Drosophila melanogaster: one gene and its partner. The gene in region 2 interacts genetically with the main gene of each other region. Each region holds a gene or a part of one and is shown on either strand. Other genes may lie near its edges.

Region 1 (3,600 bases), on a different chromosome or scaffold from region 2:
TATTTGTTAAAAATGTTTTAACATTTCTTGCCCTGTGTACTTAAGGGAGAGTGAGAGAAGAATAGATAAGAGAGTTCTGCCTTTTCCTATCCCCCGCTGATATTGCGTATACGCCGCTTGGACTTTTACTGTTTCGACTTTTTATGGGTTTCTACGAGCGAAAACAACAATGCATATGTTCAGATCGCGTTTGCGTTGTTAGTCATGTCATCCTCTTTCTCTTTTCCCTCTTTCATTGCTGCTTTAACCGTTTCGATCGCCGGCTAAACAACAGTTATAATTCGAGCATAATGTTAAGTGAGCGCAAGGTGTTCACAAGTGTCTTTGTGTGTGTGGGGCAAACAAACAGAAAAGCTTTCGCGGAGAGCGGGAAATATATAGTAAAGAGCGCATAGTGCTGCTCTTGTCGTTTCATTAACAAAACAACCGCAAAATTTATGTGTGATCTGAGACTGGGCATTCGTTTCCTTTTCGCCCCAATACAAAGTATAATTCACGATTTTTGTTGTTGCTGCCACTGTGTGAAGTGGGTTAGCGAATTAAAAACAACGACAGAAGTAACAAATAAACATAACATACAAAGACAAATGCAGATCGGAGACGAAGATTGTGTTTTTTGGGCTGTGATCTTGATTTGCATAATTGAATTTGTGGCTTAGCGTGGAGCACAGGTGCAAGTGTAGAGTTGCCCCTTGGCCAGGGTTGTCAGGTTTCCTTCCTCCCAAGAATAGTAACCAACGTATAGAGTTGTAGCTCACTTTAGTTATTGCGATTAAATAAACGTAAAGCCGAGTTACACAATCAATACATTGAGTCCAAATAATTTGTGCAGTGCAAACATGTTGCGTACATGGATTACTCATTCACACATTCACTCCATTGGTTCATTCAGAAAAACACCGCAAGTGTTGCAGCCACTGGAAGCCACCAGAAGGCACTGGAACTGGAAGAGTGATCAAAAGGGGTGCGCCGGGCGAATGACGACTGGATGTGGAAGTGGGGGATAAAAAAGGAAATGGGCAACTGCAAATGACAGAGATCACTGAAGCACGACCGACAAATAAGCGGCGGACGAATCTATGTATCTAGTATCTGGTATCTAGTGTGGCGGCATTACTCCCCATGTGCCGTATACGGCATGTGTGCATTTGTATCTGTGGCTGTACCACTATCTGTATAAGTTGGATACAAAAGCGTCTTTCCAATAGGCGTGTGTTGGTGCATGTACTGAGCGTGTGAGCGGGAAATTGTTAGAAGAAAATGTATCTGCTAGGCTTTTAAGACTGCTAGATTTCCAAAACGACCCTTGGCCAATTTGTCAGGCTTTTATTGCTATAATTCTGTAATCCAAAAGCTATTAACTGCTGATTTTGTCATCAATTGTTTTCGACTCCTGCGATGTCCTGTTTAAAGTGATTAGATTCTAATCCAAAAATATAATTCAGTGAACATTCAAATCTTTAAAAAAATCACTACGGACTCCAGAAACAAAAGCCAGTTAAAGAACTTTTGAATCTTAATCAATAAAATCCTCATCTGAGATTCAAGATAAGTCTTAAGAAGGTAATAAGAATACTTAAACTTGTCGTTTAAATTTGAACACTTGATGATTTGACCTTTTTCGAAGACTATTTCGTGGATAATCTCACCACTTACCAATTTTACAAATATTCTTGGTAATCCGTTTTGCGGTTTCTTCGGCGGAAGAAGGCTTGCAACACTCGAAAGTACTTGTTGTTGTTTCTGTTTCTTCTCTTGTTGTTGGTTACACGTAATTGGCAACCGAGGCGAACACGGAGCCGAAAGCGGGTTGCGAAAAGGCAAAAGGCAAAGAAATCAGCTGAGGAAACGCCGCGCACGAACCTCCAATCAGAACTGAAACGGCAGGGATGTCGACGTCGACGCAGAAGCCATTTTACCGCATTTGTTGTCCCTGAGCTGAGCCCCAAAACCGAGAGAGAGAGAGAGGCAGAACGAGCACCACAGAGAGCCGCTAAGGTGGATACACAAAGCCGAGCCGAAGCCTTACCGAAAGCTTTGATCACACGGCACGAACTGAGCTGGGAATAGCATGGAATATGGGAGTATGGGAATTGGTAGTGGTAGTGGGCGGTATTTGTAGTGCTCCCGTTTCACATTGCTCTCCCGCTCGCAGGGCACCAAAAACGCAAGTGGATGTGGACGGATGAGCGGACGAAATGGAATGGCAAGAATCGAACATTTGAATGGGGCTCCAAATGGTTAAGAGAACAGCGCAGCCGCTGCTGGCAGCGAGAGCGAGGGAGAGCGCAGTCCCAACTTGACATTTCCATTTCGCCGCTGCGTTGGCGCTCTGCCCTTATGCTCTTTCTTCTCGCGCTCTCCCGCTGATAAGCTGGTGTTGAAAACAAGTCTCCTGCGCTCTCGCTCTCTCTCACCGCCGTGACCTGCTGCTCCACCTCTGCGCCCACCACCCCTTCGCTTCTCTGCTGCATCAGCGTATTACGAAATATGACAACAATGCAGTTTGGTCGTCCTCGTTTTCATTCTGCCGACACAGCGGCTGCTTCTTCTTCAGTCCCATCTTCACCTCTCTGCTTGTGCCTGCTCAGCATAAATGCCATCTCTCCGCTCTCTTTGGGAACACCGGAGTATGGAAGAGTGTGAGAGAGGGGGGGGGGGAGAGAGAGGAGAAAGAGAGAGTGGGTGGCTGGTGCTTGTTTGTTATTTTCTCCGCGCTGCACTTGCAAATTGATTGTATTTTAATGAAGTTCTGGTGCCCGCTAAAAATAGTCAACTCTCTATTCAAAGGGGAGGATCGTCGCCGAGGGGCGTGGTGCGGGAATTTCTATCTGGGCGCATTCCAAGTGCAGCAATATATCGGCAGTAACTAATTCCAAATGCCAGCTATTACGACAAACTGGTTTGATCGGAAAAGCGTGCCTCGTATGCTCGACTCTCTTATTCGCTCAACCTCCCACCGACTGCCCCGCCCCCCAGCGCCCCTTTCGAGAACGCTCGCGCACACTTCTAACTGAAACCGAAATGATTCCATGTTTTCCCCGCTGCACCGACTTTAAGTTGAATAATTGTTGCTGGGGTTGCCCTGCACTGAGAGAATTGTTTGCAACGTAATTGTTTCTTTACGTTTTAGAAAATATCGCTACCTTAGATAATATAAACTTTATACACTAGTTTTGCTGTGCACGATGGCACACGTAACCCACTGGTCAACTGCCTGATGGGTCTTGGGAGCGTGTCGCTTTTTGGGTAACCCCCGGGACGGGGCGTTACCTGATCCGATCCCAAGGGGGGCTGGTCGTTATTAGGGCCCATTTGAAGGATCATTAGGCATGCATGGGAAAGACCGTCAATCAATGCGTGTTCTTGGGAAACGGCAACAGTTCCCCGCATCTAAGATTATATATCTGGCATAGATATGGGAGTTCTTTGACTTTGGCACCGCTGATAGTGGAAAAGGATTGAGGGACCAGACTTGGGCGACAGATAAGACATGTCTAGGAAGGCCGTTATCTCTCTCTTTATACGCTGATAATGGAAGCCTTAATCGCTTTCTTTAAGTACAATCGGTTAGTTAGGTTTGGTTTTAAACATATCTAC
Region 2 (3,954 bases):
ATGTACAATATATACCCATTTACAAAGCCAAAAGTTGCAGTTCAGAAGTTAGCGCCGGGGAGGCATGGGAAAGCGGGTTTCATAATAACAAAAGGGGGTGGGGAGGCATTATAAAATGGAGGATCGGTTGGTGGGAAAACGTATTTAATCGAGGACAGATCGACCTTCTGCAGAGGGCGGCCGATGCGTTGAGAGCTAACCCGTTTTAGGCATTTCAAAATTCAGTTTTGTACTCAAAACAAAAATAAACAGAATAAAGAAATGATCCCCTATCAACACTTTCAGTAAATTTAAAATAGGAAAAAACAGGCAGGTCTCGAATGAAAAACCATAAATCACATGATTCGTATTGATGGAAAACTTACTATAAATATCAAAAGATAATATAAAACGATGCCGATGATCACGAAAAGTGTCCTTTGATCAAAAACAGCCCAAAACATAACCGAAGAACCTTTGTTGTGCCAACAAATGTAAACAACTTGCACACTCCTCCGACTTTTCTTTACTGTTTCCCGTTTTTTCGGGAGTTTTTTGTAAACAATTTGTAGGGGACATGTGTAACAATCGCCAGAGATCATTAGGATTTCAACGCCGATCGGACAGCTGCATATTTTCCCCCACCAATTTTCGCCTCTTCCATTTTCCCTTGGCTAATTGTCGCGGGCCCAAAAGAAAGTCCATTCAAAATGGTTACGGATCGTTCCTGCCAAAAATCCATTGTTCTTAAGTAAATAGAGAGGGGCCAAGTCAACGAAAACTGAGGAAATATATATGTATGTGCACACAAGGAGCACAAATGATCGCTGAAAAATCCATGACATGTGTCCCAAGCAATCCAAGGATCCTGGGATTCGGCCAAGATGGAGTAGCGCACACGGGCCAAAGAACAGCTGGCAGTCGGAAAAGTGTGTGGAAAACGGTGGAAAGCCAGCCAATGCATGGCCACCTAACCAAAACACAATTTTGTGGGAGTGTCGCAAAGGCAAAGAATAAAAAAAAAAAGAAAACCAAAAAAAAAAAAAAAAGGAAAAGGTAAAAAGAAAAACAGAAGGAAACCCGAAACACACTCATTCCCCGTTTTTCACCACACGAAAGAAAATAAAAAACACCCCCAGAACGCAGAAAAAAAATCACTCAAACAAGCGTTTTCCAATGGAAAGTGGTGAACCGGCTGTGGTGTAATTTTTTCCGAGGGTTGAATGACGTCGCCAGCGGGGGAGGGGGATGGGGAGGAGCGGTCGGAAGCCGCTGCCGACGTCGCTGCCGACGTCGCTGCCGGCAGCACTGCCAGCGCCACAACCAAAACAACAAACCACAATTCACTTACACAACGCCGCAGCCGCAGTCGCAGTCGGTCCGCTGCCGCCGCGCTGCCCGCTTTTCCGCTTTTCCACTGCTGCCTTTTGTAAATAAAGAAGAATGCGCAAATTGGCGGCACAAATTGTTAAATACACTTTTCAGTATATTTTCAAATATATTCATAACGAAATAATAAGTTTGTTTTCCCTAAAAAAAAAAAACAAAACATTTATGCACGTTTTATAATACTTTACAAATATTTGTTGAATAAATTGATTATTGTATTTATTATAAACGCTTTTGAGCTATTAAAAGATATTTAATTTTTTACTACAAAATATGTTTCATGCTTAAATTAAATAATTTAAATTGAATTTCAGTTTCACTTTATACAGATGCTTAGTTAAAACAGTTTTTCGTCGTTATAATCGTTTCAAAAACGCATCAATATTGTTATTGTTCACTTGTCATTTGAAATAGTTAAACTAACCAAACACCGAAGGGTACAAAAATGTTCCTCGATTGGCAGTCGCTTTTGTTTTTTATTCTCCTGTGGCAGTGAGCATTTCCCCTGCGCCACTGGAATTTCCACGGTGCCAGAGTTTTCCGCTCTCTGTCGGTAATTTTTGTTGGGGGTTCTGGGGTTCTCCGTGGTCAATGGCTCCTGGCTCCTGGGATCCCTGTGCATTCAGTATAGCCTGGATAACGGTTGTGCGAGGAGCTCCATGAGGAGAGGCGGAGCCACGATCGGCGCAGCCGTCTCGTTCTCTCCCATAACGATCGCCCTACTAATAAATCATCCCCTCTTGGATGTCAGCTATTTCCGTAGCATCTGCTCGCCAACGGTTGGCCGATCTCTGCGGTTACCCCAGCCCCTCGAGCGTAGGTGCCTCTCTTTCGTTCGCCTGGTGCCGTCTCTTTCTGCGAGGGGGAGGGATCTTGCGCACGTATATGAATAATTCAACTGATCGCCGTGGTGATTGGGGGATGAACGGAGTACTGGTTTGTCCGTTCCTCGGAGGTGCGGAATGCACAGATCGTAGTTCTGATACCCATTCATTTCGAGGAAATTTATTCAGGAACGTCACGGTATTTGCATAAGTGAAATCGTATCTCACAGTTAGCAGCCTGTATCGTAGATTGATTACTAAAATACTTTTCTAAATAATCTGCACTAAGATATAGTTCAGATTGCGTAAGATCGGTAAGTACAGAAGCTTTTAATCGCACTGGAAGTTTTATTTACCGCTCACGACATTTGCATAGATGAAACCGTATCTTACAGATTCAAGTAGCTTGCGTACTAAACTACTGTACAAAAAATATCTGCACTAAGAAATAGTCGGGAGTGATTTTTTATGGTGAAGTACAGAAGTAAATTCAGCTAATTAAGCCTCGCTCTTTTTTGTTTTAAATTAACTGCTCAACAGCAGTGAGAAAAACATTGCATATATTGAGTACATGAATACAGGTTACTGTCGCCTTAATCTCCCATCGGTTAATCCCGCTAAAAAGCGAAGTCCTTTGAGTTTTTGGTGGCCAGGTAGGCACTTTCCGTATCAGATGCTCGTTGCTTATTTTTTGGGAACATATTTTATGGCCCGTGGCGGCGGCTAATCGGCCAAAATATTTGCGGGGCGTGCTGCTTAATCCGGGCGATTGACTTTCATAAGCAAAGGATTAAGATTGCGCGGTTGGACTACCTGTTTTGAGGTGCGATATCAGTACATGCGATGGTACATCTGAGGGCCAGGTACGTCAAAGCCAGTAAACCCATAGTTTTCCCACTTTTTTGGGGCCGCAAAAAAGCATCGGAGGGCCCATAAAAAAAGGGTTGATCCTTTTGGCTGCTGTGGGCTCGTAGCGAGTTCGGTATGGAGATCAGGTACTGCCTGGTGCTCGGTGATCCCTATGAGGCGGTCCTGCGGGTCCTGCGATGCGCGTGCTGCGGCAGCTCCTGTCGCAAATTGCCAAGGAATCGCAGCAGGATCCAAGAAGCGACGACAGGAGCGCTGATTTCCCGGGAAACCGGCAATCGTCAATCGGCCATCGGCAATCGCGTCCTTGTCGCACGCCCGCTAAACCTGCGCTGTCCTGCCATATATCCCGGGGCTATATGGTGTGAAATCGGTGTAGGGACACGAGGTCCTTCGCAGCGAGCGGCCGCGCACGTACAAAAGGCAGCGCTGCCGATACACTGGATTTACTGGAAGTGTGCGTCTATAATGTCCAGCTGAGAGCGGCGCGTTCTCGCGACATTTTGGTTGGTCTTGCCTCGTAGTTCCCCTACCAGAATGGCCATGCTCCCCATTCCTTCTCCTCCTCCTCCACGCGGTGCCTGGAAGAGTCCGCCACCTCGGAAAACTCGCGGGTCCTGTGTGGCCTCGTTTTTAAGGTTGTTTTGGTGGGCCGCAATTTTTTGGCCAGTCAGGCACTTGATTTGCGTTCCACTGCACGAAATGAGTGTTGAAGGAATTGAGAATATTACTTTAAATTGTCAAGTCAAGTGTCAAGTGTTATTCAGCAGCTCTTAAGAATTAATACACAGTTAATCCATTTTACATTAAGTTAATTAAATCGTTCATATTTCGTTTTTGAAGCTAAGTTTCGTAATCTGAATTACTATCTATGTATGTGCTAATCACTTAGCCA

Evidence for each region.
Region 1: of run (region 2) and ttk, changing one suppresses a phenotype caused by changing the other (phenotypic suppression), as found in Drosophila melanogaster (2 studies listed by BioGRID).

The regions. Positions count from the first base shown.
Region 1 is NT_033777.3:31,712,326-31,715,925, reverse strand, and holds the start of ttk (tramtrack), read right to left. Parts: upstream 2,060-3,600; 5' UTR 1,657-2,059; intron 1-1,656. UniProt on the Drosophila melanogaster protein: Binds to a number of sites in the transcriptional regulatory region of ftz. Isoform beta is required to repress inappropriate segmentation gene transcription and repress genes incompatible with development of photoreceptor cell fates.
Region 2 is NC_004354.4:20,688,507-20,692,460, forward strand, and holds the start of run (runt), read left to right. Parts: upstream 1-2,163; 5' UTR 2,164-2,506; intron 2,507-3,954. UniProt on the Drosophila melanogaster protein: Plays a pivotal role in regulating the expression of other pair-rule genes such as eve, ftz, and h.